4 linked regions of the Neurospora crassa OR74A genome follow. The protein of the gene in region 3 interacts with the protein of the main gene of each other region in a biochemical or structural test. Links are inferred from orthologs where the notes say so. Each region holds a gene or a part of one and is shown on either strand. Other genes may lie near its edges.

Region 1 (4,295 bases), on a different chromosome or scaffold from region 3:
TTTCCGGCCTAAGCGGTGGCAGCTTCTTCGATTCCAAGCCCGCCACATCCTCCCACCAATCCAAGCAGTCCATCAGCAGCCCACTGGGCTTCTCATCAACCCCTCCTCCTGCGCCAGCCTCTAAGCCCGCGCCCGCTTCCTCCGCCCTCGGTGACCTGTTTGACTTTTCCACAACAGCTACTGCTACTACCGCTCCTCCCTCGGCCGCCGCCCCGAAGCCTTCATCTGACTTCAGCTCCGCATTCAACCTTTCCAAGCCCGCCGCAACCACGCCGGCCCCTGCAGCCGTTACTTCAACAACACCAAACCCTCTTGCCTCTATTGCGACGTCTAACGCCTGGTCAGATGCAGGTGTATGGGGTTCCAACGAGTGGGCCTCCGCCCCTGAGCCCCCCAAGCCTGCGGCTCCTGAACCGCCCAAGCCAGCACCTGTTACCTCTATCCCTCTTTCTAACGATTTTGGATGGGGCAACAGCACCACCACCTCCTCCACTACCGGCGGCTCCTTCGCAAGCCAACCTATTGTCCCCAGCGCTTCGGGCGGCTTTGCCCCAGCACCAAAGGTGGCGGCCGATGAGGAGTTTGGGGGCTGGATGAGCAGCACTACCACACCAGCTGCTCCGAGCGGATCCAAGCCGGCTACCGGTTTTGGTGGCAGTGACGACCTGTTCTCAAACGTCTGGCAATAAGAAACCTTAGAACGACAATTCAGGGATCTCCGACATGGGGTTCAGAGGTAACCGAGTGCAGTCTACTGGGATTTTTGCTGTTGTCCTCGCGCCTGATGCCGACCATGTAAATATATAATCAACCGGCAGGTGATGTGAGAAATAGCTCGGACAAACTTATACCAAACCAAACCAAACCCATCAAGCGTCCGAACTTGTTTTTCCTTCTATACCACCTGACTGGAAAGGGGATGCTATCCACGAACACCATGTCGTACTTATGCTGTGGGAGTCTGATCTAGTTAAGAGTTAGGCAAATGATGGTTTATGCGTGACAAATAGGGGAATGATGAACAACGCAGTCATTCTTACATCAGCAAGTCATGTTTTGTTTTGGCATATTTACATTATAGACAACAAGTTATTGTTCGTTGGTAGGGCAAAAGTAATGCACTTTTATATAGGATCCTCCTATCTTTTGTAAGGTGTGTGTTGCCCTCATTAATGTCCTTCTGATGTCCTTGAAGTTTCAAAATGAAAAATCAAGGATGAGACTGAGAAATGTCGATGTCTGGCTTATACGACACGACGTATCAATGACAACCTAAGGTACGCAGAAACCAAATCCCAAATAAACAAACAAAACCGAACCGTCAACGCCATTGCTATGCCTTTGCATCTACCCGTCTGTTGTCGAGACAAAACATTAAGCCCAGTCTGTAAACCAAAATCCACACTTCGTTCAGAATCCACCAAAACACAGACCTACGGTCCTGCGTGACCTGCTACCCTCCCACCCATTGCCCCACCCTACATTGCACCTCCTCTGCGCAATACTAGTAGCGGCTTTTGTGGGAGCAAGCGGACTGCACATCGCCTGTACCAGCACTCCAACATCCAACAAGCTATCCGGACAAGCTCCATCCTGTCTTGATGTCCGGCTTCGCACGCATCCGTCTTATCATTCCTGATATTTGTCGGGAATCGAATCGTGCCGCCCTCTACATCCTTCGCCCTGTGTTGTTGTAGTGAACCCGATGAAGAGAACCTCCCTTCCTTTTGCTTCCTGGCATGTATTCGCATGTCGAAGTTCAATAGACCCAATAGACCCAATATTCAAACGACTTTAGCCCTCTCACACGTCGTGACTTTTTGAATCATTTAACCAACAAAAAGTCGATAAAGATAGTAAATGACCAGGAAGCTCCCAATAAGAATACCCGAGAGCTTGAGAATGGCGACCTTGTTCCCCGATGCGGCCATGCGGCCTAGACGGGTGGCGGAACCTTTGAGTTGAGAGCCCATGGAGGAGAAGGTATCGGTCTGTTCGTTGTTGGTGGGACTTGTCAGTTTGTTATTTTGTGCAGAGTAAAATCAAAGGAACCGTACCGTTTGGTCGATAACTTCGTGGTTGCGCGCCTGGTCGTAAATGTCAATCGTTACACCTCGAAGGGCAGAAACCTTGGAGGCTAGCTCGTCGAGGCGCGCATTATTTTGGCGCTCGCGCTCGTAGTTTGCGGACATCTTGATAATGGTAATGGGGGGGGGTTGTGTTGTGGTCGTAGTTGTATGTTGCGACTCGCTCAGCGGCCGTGTGGGAGGTTCACTCGTCAGTTTTGAGTATCGGGTTAATTGGAACTCGCTGATATGGCCCGAGTTTCGTATTATCGAAGATGTTATTACGTGTTATTTTGTCGCGCGCGCGGGGGTCGGCTTCGGTGTCTTGCAGCGTCCGTTGTTCGGAGTGAAGCCGTGGTGTTCCTAGGTATTGCTGAGTGCTATGGGGATGTCAAAAGGGGGTAGGTTGTAGCAGGTTCCAGATGCACTCAGTTCAGGGTCACAATGAAAGGACACCGGGATCATGCATCCATCATGATGGGGGCGGCCGGCTCACTGCAGCTTGTTGATGCATACACCAGCCACAGCTACGGCCTCCTAGTCGCGAATGATGTCAGTTTCGGCCATTTACGTGTGGCTGCGCGTAAAGCACATGCATGGTCAATGCGGGGTCTTTTTCGGGGGGAGCGGAGCCTGCTGGAGCCATTTGATTGTGCTCGTGGTCGGGCCACTGCAACTTTGGGTCCCGTCAGTCAGTCACCTACGTAACGACGAACGCCCGCTCTGCTCTGCCCGCTGGACAAGGCCCGGGTATTCAAAGTGGAAGGTGCAGGGCGCAGGGACGGAGTAAAGTAGAGAAGTAGAGGTACAGTAGTGTACGCTACTGCACAGCCCACGGCGGCAGTGCTTGCCCAAGCCCATCCCAGCGTCTCCAGTGATTGAGGGTCCAGTGCTACAGTTCTCACATGACGCGCGGCACGAGCTCCAGCTTCCATTTCCAAGTACTTCCATTTCAAATGTTGACTGTGATGAATTCCATGCCACTGTTTAGCCTCGCTCATCAGTTACTCCGATCTGTGAAGAAGAGGGAAAAAAACAAACTCTCAAACGGACAGTTACACCAACAAAAGAGCACGCACAAAGGCTTATCCTCCGGGAACAAGATCGTTCATCACGAACAACAAGTGACCCCAAGGATCTCCCCAGCATCTTGACAAACCGCCGTTGTGGGGACGCCCAGGTACCAACCTCGCATTTACTATGTACACAAGAAATTGACCGGGCTGATCTGCTTACTTGCTTGCCTGCCAGTGTGCCTGCAGGCATTGATCGGCCAGTGTCCCGAGAAATGACTGACGAACTCCATCTCTTTCTTTCTTTCTAATATTTCGCTGTCGCTGTCGCATTTCCACGGCATTCTCACCGCAGCCGCTCTACACGCCCTCGCCCTTCAAGACCCGCGCCAGTCCGCTATAGGGAGTTCCGCTTCGACACTTCAAGATGGGTATCAACAACCCTCTTCCGTCGTCACTTTCGTGTGAGTTTGTGTCCCCGGGGTTCCCGTGCTGTGCGAGCCCGACCCCGCAACTCCCCTTCGCTTCGCCGAATCCGACATCCTAACACGTCTGTAACCAGCGGAATGTAAGAAGTGCGGTAAAATCCTCGCCTCCTTCATCGAGCCCAAACAAGCCTTTGGTCCCGACAAGGTGATACCGCCATCAGTGCTCGCGAATGCCAAGGTACGAAACAGCATCCGCAACCTCAACGAAAGCGACCAGGTGGTTAACGTTCTCCTAGGGTCTTGCTATACTCACCGTCATCAAAGCTGGTTTCCTCGGATCTGCCCGTTTCGGTAGCGGCCTGGTAGTCGCCCGCCTCCCCGACGGCAGCTGGTCTGCCCCCACCGCCATTGCTACGGGTGGTGCCGGCTTCGGCGGTCAGATCGGTTTCGAGCTTACAGATTTCGTTTTCATTCTCAACGACGCGAGCGCCGTAAAAACCTTCGCCCAAGCTGGGTCACTTACACTTGGTGGTAACGTTTCGGTCGCGGCCGGGCCTGTCGGTAGAAATGCCGAGGCCGCCGGAGCCGCTTCGCTGAGAAGCGTAGCGGGCATCTTCAGTTATTCCAAGACCAAGGGCTTGTTTGCTGGCGTGTCTCTCGAAGGTTCTATGATAATCGAGCGAAAAGACGCCAATGCAAAGCTCTATGGTCGTCAGGTTTCCGCCAAGGAGCTCCTTTCAGGAGCCGAGCGCCCCCCGCCGCAAGCCGCTCCTCTCCTCAGCATTCTG
Region 2 (3,196 bases), on a different chromosome or scaffold from region 3:
CCACATTGCCCCCGTCCCTGGCGATTGGCTGGCGAGGATATGGTGTCCCTACTGCGACGAATACACGTACGTGGACCAGGGTGAGGACAGCGAGGACGAGGTCAAGTGGGCACAGGACGAGAGGGGGTTCGAGGACTTGGCCAGCTTCCAGGAGCATTTGGAATGGTATCATACGGCGTTGCCGGTGCCGAGTATACCGGCGTTATTGCCAAAGGCGGCGGGGAGTTGTTTGATTATGTGATTGAGGCTTGCGGGTGCGTGTGCGGGTGGTTCAAGCTTGGGCTTAGTGTCCAGGGTGTCGGTTTATGTTCTGGATTGAGAACAACAAAATTGAAAAAAAGAAAAAAAAAAAAAAACGGGTTTGGAATTGGAGTTTGGGGGGGCAAGAGCTTCTACTTCAAGTAGGGAAAGAGACCGATAGGCTATCTCAGATGGAGATTTTGTATCATCGCTTGACAGAAATAGCGTGTCGAGCAGAAGAGATGCCGGTCTGGAATGAACCAGGAGATACGCATGATTGAGCATCGGTGACACTGTGGTACAGTCATCCATAGAGACCTTGTCAGGCTTTAGGAAGGCATCGGATGAAGGAGTGGAAAGCAGGAACCTATAAGCAACATGTCTTGATAGCTGAAACCTCACCTGGCCAAACGTCCTTTTGCGTTTGCCCCCCTTTCCCCCCAACCTCCTTTACCCAAACTCCATGCTAGGTCAAGCGCCAAAAACCAATGCCCTACAAACACATATTAAAATAATTACAGAATCCACGTAGGCTATCCGTCACAGCATCATACAGAGCCAGGCTGACTGAGGAAACCCACCCGACGGTATCATGCTAACCCGCTACCGGTGATGCTCCCTGCCTGGGATGCACTCAAAAGAAGAATCTCCACCACAAGAAGAAGATGATAATGGAACCGACCGCCGCAAAGGGGCCGTACTGCTTCAGCAGCAAATCCCAGTTGATCTTAACAGCCGCCCTCTTGTACTTCTTGCTATCGTCCCTCAGCCTACTGCTCAGCTCGCCCATGCGCTCCAGGCTGTCGCCGCGGTACAGCAGATCCTCAATGTTCTTGGTCATGACTTTGGTCACGTCCCTAAGCTCATCATGCAGCTTATCCAGGTTCTGAGTCGCACGCGTGTCGCTGTAAGTCGCCTTGGTGCGGCTGATGAAGCTGTCAAAGTCCATAAAGGCATAGGGCCGCAGCGTCGGGTTCATGAGCTGTGCCGGGGTGTGCGTCGTCGCGAACTCGCCCGCAATGTCGGAAAGGTAGGTGAAGGCTAGCTTGCGCGGGTACGACCGGTCCGTAATGGCGAAGTATACGATGTCGGACTGAATCAGGTAGTGCAGCGTGTAGAGAGAGCCGCTCTCGATGCTGGCTTGCGGTTCCGAGGTGCGCGTTAGGCGGCGCAGAATTAGTTTGACTTGGGACTTGACTTCGCTGAGGGAGGATTCAGTTGCTTCGTCGTCGACGGAAGCGCAGAGCATGAGGCCTGTGTTTTGAGGGGAGGGGTCTTGGTTAGCTACCGGACAAGACATTGACATCTCCATAGGCACACAGATGTTGGTCGAGGGGGTTAGTTAGGGGGGGGGGGGGGGGGGGCACGAACCATCCAGCCGTGCAATTTGTGTTGAGCGGATCATTGTGAAGAATAGGTTATATCACTCCTTTTTCATTGTGTTGTTTTTGGCGACCTTTAGTATCGTTGTGCAACTCGAAATCAAGGCCAGTTCAGTTGCGTGCTTGGATTTGTTAAGTTGGTGTCGTTGGAGAGGACAGTGAACAAGGCAAGGTTTATAAAAGCTTGTGATGACGAGTGGGAGTGATCCGTCAAAAGCAGCCAGGTACGTGGCTTCTACCTAGGTACCGCAACCAACTCGCACCGACGAATTCTCTTGTTCAATTGCATGCTTCTTTCCCTGTCGACCAGCAGACCAGATTGTAATTCGCTATCCTCTTTCTTGTTTTTTTTTTTTCTTTACATGGCTATATAAAGAAAACAAAACATTACCCGTAGGTAGAGTGATGCAATGATTTCGCCAGGCCAACGTGTGTTTCCTTATCAAGGATTACAAGTCGTCAAACGGGACACTGATGACGGTACTGCCGCTGGAAATGTGTTGAAAGTTCACCCTGCAGGGCCTGCAAGTTAGTTTTGTTTAGGTAGTTAAATAGTGCGAGCAGGCAGTCTCGCCCGGCCCGCTATTCACGCCTACTATGCAGTATGTACAAGCTACCTCTAGCTTCCGGGGTGTGTCATGCAAGTGGCTGCCCGGGCTTGGCGCCTTTCAGCTTCCATCCCCACCCATCCTGTCCATCACACAACGACTTGAAGAAGGAGCATCTTCAACCGAACAACATCGGGGAAGGGGAGCTGGAGGTGGAATATCTACCTACTTACCTAGAGGTACCTATCATTCATCACAGTCAGTATAATCCCCCTCCCAGTTCAGAGTGGTGGTTAGATCAAGTTCAGTTCCACCTCGTTCCCTCGCACATCCTCCCAACCTTGCGCGTCAACTTGTACTCAAGGTAGTACCACTTCGGTTCGTTTCGTTGACCACATTTTCACCTGAACGCATCTCATTCTCTACTTTTATAAACCCCCCACTTTCTCCCCTCCCTTCCACCAGACATCAGTTTGTTCGCAGATGTAACCACAGCCATATTGGCCGCATGAACCATCATTGACTTACGAAAGACAAACGGTGACTTTCACGGCGCCATTCTGCCAGTTTCTGCTATCTGGTATTGTTTAATATCACAACAACTAAGTAGTTCCGGATCTGTCTAGATCCAGATCTGACTTGACGGTAATTTTTCCTTTGCCGGCAAACCCACACTGCCGCGTTCGATCACTCCTTGAACAACTTCAACACGCAATAATTATCTTTCCAGAAAGGCGACTAACTGAAGGTGTCCTGAAGGATGGCTGAAGAAGGAAGTAGTTCTCCGCTGTCCTCCGTCCTCTCTTCTCCTCCGGCCTCACCTCCCCGGAGCGTGAGTGGGGACTGGGATGCTATCCTTGTCCAAAAGATTGATACTGCTGCGCAGGTGACTTTGGAGGAGATAGCAGCCGAAAAGTCAACGGTCGAGGAACCAGCAGTTGAGGAACCAGCAGTCGAGGAACCAGCAGTCGAGGAACCAGCAGTCGAGGAACCAGCAGTCGAGGAACCAGCAGTCGAGGAACCAGC
Region 3 (4,810 bases):
ACATGCACACAACCGGGGCCACTCCAACATTTCTAAAATCTCGAGCAGCAGTCAGGAAGTTGACGACGATTCTGCACTAACCTCACCACCCAGCCAAAGTCCACACAATGTCGTCCGCGGCGGCTCCCCAGACGAAGACCTTTGGCAAGGCGACCCGGACGGTCCCTCACTCGTCCGAGAAGGCCCAGAAATGGTACCCTGCTGAGGATGAGGCCCAGCCTCGCAAGGTACGTGCATGCACAAGTTTTCCAAGCGACCGGCGACGTTTTTGGCGAAGTATCGCGAGATGCACTTGGTGGAATTGCGGCCGGTTTGGCGGTTATCGATTTGGCGCGGAAATGGGGACAACCAGGGCGCAAGTGGAGGGCGGCAGCACTTGCTGCGATTTTGGACTTTGGACCGCAAAGTGCATGTCGTGGAGGCGACGACAAGAGGCGGACATTCCCAAACTCTGCGAATACAACTGATTCTAACTACCATGTTCTCTACAGGTCCGCAAGACCATCCGCCCGTGGTCTCCCCGCAGCACCCTCGTCCCCGGCACCGTCCTGATCCTCCTCGCTGGCCGTTTCCGTGGCAAGCGCGTCGTCCTCCTCAAGGCTCTCGACCAGGGTGTTCTTCTCGTCACCGGCCCTTTCAAGATCAACGGTGTTCCCCTCCGTCGCGTCAACGCCCGCTACGTCATCGCCACTTCCCAGAAGGTCGATCTCGCTGGCATCGACGAGGCCAAGATCAACGAGATCGCTCAGCCCAAGTACTTCACCGCCGAGAAGTCCAAGGAGAAGGCTGGTGAGGAGGCTTTCTTCAAGCAGGGCGAGAAGCCCCAGGTACGACTTGGGAATTCCGAGCTGGAACACGGGGCGCACAATGCTGACATAGTGATGCAGAAGAAGGAGGTTTCCAGCAGCCGCGTTGCCGACCAGAAGGCCATCGACAAGGCCCTCATCGCCAACATCAAGAAGGTCGAGTTCCTCGCCAGCTACCTCGCCTCTTCTTTCACCCTCCGCAAGGGTGACAAGCCCCACGAGATGAAGTGGTAGATTGTGGGCATGGGTGCTAGGGGACTGCATGCGGGTGCGGTTCGCGGTATGGCTCGGTCAGTTGCATTTGGACGTTGACGGTTCTCGGGTCCATTACGGCGTCTGTTATGAGGGTTTACAGTCATCAGGATGGTAAAATACGGCTTTCGGTTTGCAGAGGATACGGGTCACGAGCGAAACTCGAGGCATTGGGGACGCCCCATGACAATGTACAGGGGGCTCGTGAAGGCACTCGACTCTCGCAGAGAGCCTGTTCCTCCTGGTATCGCACCAAACCATGCGATTAGGGATCCGTCCAAAGAGCGGAAGATCAATACCTACAGATGCTATTTACTGCGCCTACCGCATACTCGACCATTGATATCCTTCGTGCGTTCTATGTGCGAAACTGCGTCTCTCATTGCGTCGGTGTATGTCTGCGAATCACACGTATTCAGTGAACAGCTACGACGACTGTATGGTGAGTCTTTGCGATTTATCAGCACTTTACAAAGCCCGTGTAAACATGGCTTGGCCCTTCTGTCATATGTCTTTCAACAATAGCTGAGGTATCTTCGCTCGCATGTCTATATGTGTGCTGATTAATCGTGTCCGCCGCGTCCAACAACTTCAGTGTCATCAACCGTGATGGTTATGAACTCGCGCCAACGTTCACGGCCGCAGTTGATGTCTACCACTGTTCAGACGGGAGAACGGTACGGTCCGCAGATATCTCGCGTGATAGTAGTTGTATGAACCTTGATGTCATGCTTGGCCTAGACTCTTGAGATGTGCATCAGCTGCCAGTGCCGAGGCGCTGACACCTGGCATAAGGTGACATGGAATGTATCGTCGGGTCCCCTACGTGGTGAAGCCCTATCTTCAGCTCTGTCGTTCTGCAGCAGCTCAGCTGAAGAGTCGACCCAGGCCGCTACGGTACAGTGGACATGTAACTGTGGCGCCTGCCGATACGTAACTGAACTTCTTCCACTAACAAAGCCACATCTCTGCCGTGCAAGCATCAATCATCATCATCACGACCATTTACGTCTGATCTAGGATCCTCCACCGGTTGACCTGTCCTGATCAACCTTACCACTACTATTACAGACAATTTTATAAATTCAAACCACATCATATTCTCCTCCCGCCAAGAGTGCCGCCTTCAGGCAACTCGGACGAATCGCATCCGTTGAAATTCATCGATCTTGCCCCAATAGCTTAGGAGCAGCACTGCATCATGGCGGCGACAACATCCTCAACCCAGGGCTGGGCCCAGTTACGACAACAAGCCCGATCGCTCGAAACACAAGTACGACTGAACTGGTCATGGGCCTTGGGAAATGGGAAGGGCATGAGACTAACATTTTCTTACAGACCGAAATGCTCCTCCACACATACGCCCAGTTCTCGAACCAGACCAACATCCCACCGAAGCCGACAGAAGAGGAAAGGCATACGGAAACGAGACTACGGGAGCTATTGGACAAAGTAAGTTTTTAGAGGTCAAGTAAAACTGTTTACATAAATTCGAACACTGCTAATACATGGTCTTTTCAGCGCGAGTCCGTAATCTCCCACCTCACCCGCCTCCTAACCTCGGACCCCTCCCCCTCAGCGCTCAAGCAGAACAACCTCTCCCTTCTGCGCGACAAGCTCTCGGACCACCGGCGGGACCTCTCCCGATTGCGGTCGACGCTCGAGTCGGCCCGCACGCGTGCCAACCTGCTAGGCAGCGTGCGCGACGACATCTCGGCATACCGCGCCGCCAACCCTGAGCAAGGCGAGGCCGACTACATGCTGGACGAGCGAGGCAGGCTGGACCGCAGCCACGATGTGGCCGACAGCGTGCTGAGCCAGGCGTACGCGGTGCAGGACTCATTCGCGTCCCAGCGAGAGCGGCTGGCGCACATCAACCGGCGAATTACTCTTGCGGCGAGCCAGGTGCCCGGAATCAATACCCTGATCACGAGGATATCGGCGAGGAAGAGACGGGATGGCATTATTATGGGCTCATTCATTGCGTTCTGCTTCTTGATGTTCTGGTTCTTCTCCTGAGTGGCGGTGGTGAACGAAGTGGGAGAGCGCTTCACGAACATGAGAGAGCGGAGAAATTCTGCTCAAGGACGGTTATGCGGCTCACTTCTTGTTGAGCGCATGCTATGGATCTTTGGAAGCGCGACAGGATCGCATCTTCCAGGAACCCTTATCGTAAGCGGCTGTACATGACACACTACTTCAGTGTCGGGCTTTCGTACTTTGACGGGAAGCATGGCGGGGATTACGGCGTTCAGGGGCGTTGCGAGGCAAGTAAGTGTGAAAGTGATTTTACAAAATAATAATATAATTTACAAACCCAAGAAGAAGTCCACGGCATTCTTGCTGGTTAAACCATGGCTCGTGGACGCATCTGCTGTAGACCAGACCAGAACAGACCAGAATTTCCCCGTTCGTCCGTGGTATTTTGAAATGCGCCCATCTCAGCCCCCGATGAGCCGACTTGCTTGCTCGTAAGCTCAATTAGCTTCTTCCCTGTAGCAGGAATTCGATGCTCAGAAACCTTGAGCTTGGCGAGCCTTGCTTTTCTGTTCCAGCAAAAGCTCTGTGACACGTCAGCTGGGCAATGGAGACTTTGTCACCCATATCATCTCAATGCATCTTTACGCCTAGGCATTCCGGGTCGCCTATTGCGCCGCAACAGACCCTTCTGCCTTCAACTCAGGGACAGCCGCTGTCTTCCGCACATAGTTCTTCCCAACACCCTCCTTGGTCATCTCGTCCAAAATCCTCTGGACGCCCTTGATCAGGCCCTCCTTCTCATCTCCCTCCGCATCACCACTGCCCGCCCATCGAATTCGGCAGTTATGATCCACCAGATACGTGTAGCCAACCTTGCTGTTTAGCAAACCAATTGACTCCCGAATCTCGTCCGTAATCCCCTTTGTGACCAAGAAATACCTCTTCCAGTCGTCCTCATCCACCTTCTTGCGCAGCGAGCCCATAAACAGTCTGACCAACCACGCCTTCATGGCATCCTCTTCAATATTGATCTGCACCAATTGCGCGCGCCCGCCGCTCTGCTTCAGGACCGACTGCAGGACTGGGTTGGCTTCGGGAGAGACAAAGGTACGGATCTGGTTCTCGGCCCACATGCTGCTGAAGACGGTGACGACGGAGCAGTGGCCTTCTAGGAGAGGTGTGGTGTCGGCGACCTTGGCCGCATCGTCCTTGGCGAGTGTCCGGCCATGCAAGTTGGGAAAGTACAGGGAAAGGTCGGCTTTGAAGAGACGTGGCGGCGCGAGGAATGTCTTGCCCTTGTGAAATTGCATGTTGCGCCAGTCGCGGAAGTAGGGGCGGGAGATTTTGGATTTGCTAATGTTATAGCGCTAATTAGTCAAGAAGCTGGGAGGAGGATGAAGATACATGGCCAATGTCGGGATGGGTTCTCACAGCATCTCTCGCTTCTTCAGATGTTTCTCATAGTTGACAAAGTCATCCCTCTTCTGCTGGAGTGTGCGCGTGTCGATTCCTGTGTTCTCTCCGGGATTTGGGGGGTTGTGCATGCCAATGGGCCTTGACAAGTGGGTTGGCGTGAAGGTATCGAGCGCCTTGCCGTAGGCTCTGGGCGCATTGGCTAGAGGGCCGGATTCTCTGAGGGATTCGATGGGCGACACGGGAGCCGCCGAAGCGGCATCTTTCGAAGCAGCATCGGGGGCCGGAGCTGGTGTCGATGGTGGTGTCGACGGTTTGGTTGTCTGGGGTGATGGTGTCTTATTGGCAAGCCTCTGATA
Region 4 (3,628 bases), on a different chromosome or scaffold from region 3:
AAGGCGCGACATCAGGTAGGAGCGCCTCTGCCACCCCGCACATTTACAGTCTCAGTTTCCTATGATGTTGTTCGAACCCCAGCTTGCATCCAACGTCTGTAGTGCACATGAGTAGACGCCGACGGAGCCGATATAAGATCGGCATGGAGGAAGATCCGTACGCAATGCCGCCATCATCGATCAGCTCAATTGATGCTGCTGCGTAGTCTTGTAGTTTGAATCTCAACGTTTCCATTCATATCTTCAAAAGAGTCTTTTTGGCTGGGCTAGCTTGAGAGGGATAACAACCCCTAGAATATACCATAGTGTACATTAGTTACGACTCGCACAGTTTACGCCACTACGGCGTGGCGGACAAGGTCGTCATCACTGCAACCGAATGTCGTGACTGGGGAACCCGACCGCTTCGCTTGTGTCGGCCCATCACATAATCTTTGAGGGCGGATGTCGTATGAAACTAACGGGTATGCAAGAAACGGAGCGAAGATCTCTCAGATAAGTGCGCAGCCTCGGGTTCGACACATAACAAATCTATAACAGGACTACCTACATCTGGTAGTCGAAGTATGTATTTCACAGCTTTAGCGCCAAACAGTGGTCAATCTTTCACAGTTTCGGGTATGTACCACACAACAATGAATATGAGAAAGGGTATATTGCAGGTTGAATTAGAAGTTTAGCATTCTCAGAGCCCACGAAGCCGTCAAGGTAAGTGGCTTTCACATATCCAAAGCGGCTACTGTAAGGCCCTCTGTCGTCAGTAGCCAAACTGCAACCTGCGCGGAAACCAAAAGCTGAATTAGAAGAGACCCCCACCAGTGCCTCGAAGACAACGAGGGGTCAGTCGCTCTTTGTATTTGGGTAGGGGGAACGTTGCGGTCGATGGCATATATCAGTGCGGCTGACTAAAAGCGAAGACAGTCGCGCGTGGTTGGTTGGTATTGATGAACGATCTTTACATAACCAGGCAGCACGAGTTCTGCTTCTTCGCACTCTGGTAGAACATCTTGCTCTGCGCACTCAGGTCGGAACTCTTGGCAACCAGGTCGTCGAGCTTCTCGCCTCGTTGCAAAACCTAAAACTAGGTTAGCATGTTATATAGAGCATTGCTACCCTCTGTGAATGGACATACGCTATCAATTGCCTTGTGTAGGACGATCTTGGTCTCGTCGAGCTCTTGCTGGATCTTTGCAATGCTGCTCGCGTTGTTGGCATCTTGGTAGTCGCGAAGGTACTGCTCGATGGCCGGGAAAGGGATGTCGCCGTCGTTCTTGGCGGCGTTTATCGTGGCAACCGGCTTCTCCGAGAGAAACTGGTCCATGAGCTTGGAAAGGACACTGTGGGCGGCGATAGGAGGGTAGTCCTTGGTGATGACGACACCGCAAACACCCTCGGAGCGGGCATAGGCGTGGATAATATAATCTGTTCGGACACCACCTAGTCAGCTAGGCACATGTATGCGAGCAGAGAGTTCACCATAGACGCACCTTGCTCCTCAACACTTTGCCTCTGGCCAGGCTTCGTCCTCTCTGCGACAGTCCTGCTGATCATGGTCATGAAGTTCTTGTATTGGTCTCGTGTGAACCTGGAGAAGTCGCTAAGCTCGTGGGCACCGCAGAGCTGCACCGCAGGCTGCTCGGTGTTTTTGTAGATCTTGTTCGCGGTCAGCAGGTACCTTCTTGTACCCCCTATGAAAGCAGCCGTATCTTACACCAATGTAGTAGAGCTTCATGGTAGCGGTATTTGAAACGTCCCCGAGGTTTTGTTGTGGTCGTGTTTCAGAGCTTTGGCGCAAATCAGGCGAGTATCGCTGTTGATGGTTCCTGACTGTACACGATGATGTTGATGTCTCGCGTTGGGATAGAGAGAGCCGATGTGATGGCGTGGGGAGCAATGAGGTCTGGAATTGCCGAATCGTAGGGTTCGTCGTTAGATTAGGTTAATGGATTGTAAGTTGCGATGGTTTGGTCAAGGAAGCGCGTCGCTGTGTCGGTCGTGGTTCGGGCTCGACGATTGTCGATGGATTAGGGGGAGGGGTTTGATAGACGACGCGCGATCGATGGCGGCAATGGCGATGCGATGAGGTATCGATGGAATCAAGCTGTTGTTCGAGGCTGAATGGCGATGTGTCGAAGCCAACCACAGCCGTCCGCTTCTTGTTGGGCCAGGCCATCGAGACCCATGCCCTCTGGGCTGGAACAGCACCGTCAGGCGGGCGTCGGCCAAACACCGCCCCGCTAGCACATGTTAGTGCCAATGCTACTATAGGAAGACCTTGTCCTAACACGGGCTCTTGTTGCATCTCCGTGTCCTTTCATTTGCTTTTTGTTCAACCATGATTGACATGTGCAATGACGACTAAGACGACTACTCAGATCCCTACAATCGCACTTGTCAAGAACATCTTCCTGGAACATTGAACAAAAGTTTCCAAGGGGACGGACTGATGATGTGGAAGGTGATTAGAAAGCACAAACAGAACAAGCGGAACGCCGGCCCATGCTTCTAACGAGGTTTCCTGAAGCGAAAAAAGGGTCTTTGGTGTACAGTGTTCACCCGCGAAGCGAATATGTTTGACATGCACTCTGCTCCGAGTCTGGAAGGGATCGCGGACCTCTCAACGAGTATTACCCCTATGAGGCACATAGTATATGATTCCACGACTACCCAGTATAAAATACTATGGAGCAAAACTCCTTCGAGTCAGACGGATGGGATCGATGCCTTGAATGACCTTTTCGAGAACAAAGTCATCGATCCTCTCCACCAGGTCCGGATATTACACCGCGCGGATTTCCACCTCGTGTCGGATCTCGAAGCCTTTCGGGTACATATCATTCATGGTCGCACAAATGTAACTACACACATATGACCATCGAACCGCCTTGCCCACGCGTCTGTACATCACCAATAATGTAAAGCTGGACATGAACTTCTGGCCGAGAGATCGTCAGACTGGTGAAGCTAGAAGTCTTCCTACCAAAAGTTGACCTTGATGGAACAACAACCATCAAGACCCGTAGTCGTAGTGTATGTAATGACGAGGAGATGGCTCAAAGAGGAAAACCAAGCCGTAGTGTAGTGTACTATGTAGTGTAGTGTCGTGTAGACAAGCCTAGGAAAGAGACAGGGGGGGTTCGTGAAGTGGCCGGCACATGCGTCGGTTCCTCCTTCCACCTACACTACACCAGATTTGGACGCCGGCGATGCCTGTGGTGCTCCACCGCTTTTTGCACCGATTAGGACAAGCCCAGTGAGCTGTGGCTCTTCGCCATTCGTTTCCCCAGCGATCTCACTCTGCCGTCGCGGTGCCGTTCGCTTGTGAGATGGAAGAGGAACGGGCGGGATGCTGGGGGACGTTGGGACGGCGACGAAGCGCAGTGGACACTAGACTCTCTGCAGTGGGTTCGCAGTGCAGTGGGTGGGTGGACCCGCTGCTGCAGACCAGGGCCGAGCCAATCCCATTGGCTTTAAAGGCAAGTCCAGGGTGCAACGTCTTGCCGGGCAGTCGGGCGTAACCTGGACAGGAACCATCGTTCGCTCTTGGCTCGCTTGGCTCGCACTCGTCTGCTCCGTTGATTGACGAAGTCGACCTTCCCGACGCGACCTCGTCCCCCCTGGTCAGCTT

What was found. The genes of interacting proteins can lie anywhere in the genome.
Region 1: the proteins of NCU02706 (region 3) and NCU03889 form a complex in vitro, tested with the Saccharomyces cerevisiae proteins (2 studies listed by BioGRID). The link is inferred for Neurospora crassa OR74A from reciprocal best matches to the Saccharomyces cerevisiae genes GOS1 and SFT1.
Region 2: the proteins of NCU02706 (region 3) and NCU06708 form a complex in vitro, tested with the Saccharomyces cerevisiae proteins (2 studies listed by BioGRID). The link is inferred for Neurospora crassa OR74A from reciprocal best matches to the Saccharomyces cerevisiae genes GOS1 and SEC22.
Region 4: the proteins of NCU02706 (region 3) and NCU08973 form a complex in vitro, tested with the Saccharomyces cerevisiae proteins (2 studies listed by BioGRID). The link is inferred for Neurospora crassa OR74A from reciprocal best matches to the Saccharomyces cerevisiae genes GOS1 and YKT6.

What each region holds. Positions count from the first base shown.
Region 1 is NC_026506.1:2,053,105-2,057,399, reverse strand, and holds NCU03889 (SNARE), read right to left. Parts: upstream 2,801-4,295; 5' UTR 2,193-2,800; coding exon 2,058-2,192; intron 1,992-2,057; coding exon 1,830-1,991; 3' UTR 690-1,829; downstream 1-689. Other genes in the region: NCU03890 (stromal membrane-associated protein), read left to right, coding at 1-689; NCU03888 (DUF500 and SH3 domain-containing protein), read left to right, coding at 3,507-3,543, 3,642-3,745, 3,804-4,295. UniProt on the Saccharomyces cerevisiae protein: Vesicle SNARE required for retrograde transport within the Golgi complex.
Region 2 is NC_026505.1:4,347,980-4,351,175, reverse strand, and holds NCU06708 (protein transporter sec22), read right to left. Parts: upstream 1,808-3,196; 5' UTR 1,646-1,807; coding exon 1,612-1,645; intron 1,495-1,611; coding exon 875-1,494; 3' UTR 501-874; downstream 1-500. Other genes in the region: NCU06709 (hypothetical protein), read left to right, coding at 1-241; NCU06707 (uncharacterized protein), read left to right, coding at 2,931-3,196. UniProt on the Saccharomyces cerevisiae protein: Nonessential SNARE involved in targeting and fusion of ER-derived transport vesicles with the Golgi complex as well as Golgi-derived retrograde transport vesicles with the ER.
Region 3 is NC_026501.1:3,262,986-3,267,795, reverse strand, and holds NCU02706 (protein transporter GOS1), read left to right. Parts: upstream 1-1,940; 5' UTR 1,941-2,259; coding exon 2,260-2,331; intron 2,332-2,396; coding exon 2,397-2,510; intron 2,511-2,579; coding exon 2,580-3,077; 3' UTR 3,078-3,465; downstream 3,466-4,810. Other genes in the region: NCU02707 (60S ribosomal protein L6), read left to right, coding at 108-227, 492-827, 888-1,040; NCU02705 (F1F0 ATP synthase assembly protein Atp10), read right to left, coding at 3,704-4,391, 4,470-4,810. UniProt on the Saccharomyces cerevisiae protein: Involved in transport from the ER to the Golgi apparatus as well as in intra-Golgi transport. It belongs to a super-family of proteins called t-SNAREs or soluble NSF (N-ethylmaleimide-sensitive factor) attachment protein receptor.
Region 4 is NC_026503.1:4,097,510-4,101,137, forward strand, and holds NCU08973 (SNARE protein Ykt6), read right to left. Parts: upstream 2,175-3,628; 5' UTR 1,733-2,174; coding exon 1,712-1,732; intron 1,654-1,711; coding exon 1,488-1,653; intron 1,423-1,487; coding exon 1,133-1,422; intron 1,076-1,132; coding exon 956-1,075; 3' UTR 501-955; downstream 1-500. Other genes in the region: NCU16686 (hypothetical protein), read right to left, coding at 3,293-3,628.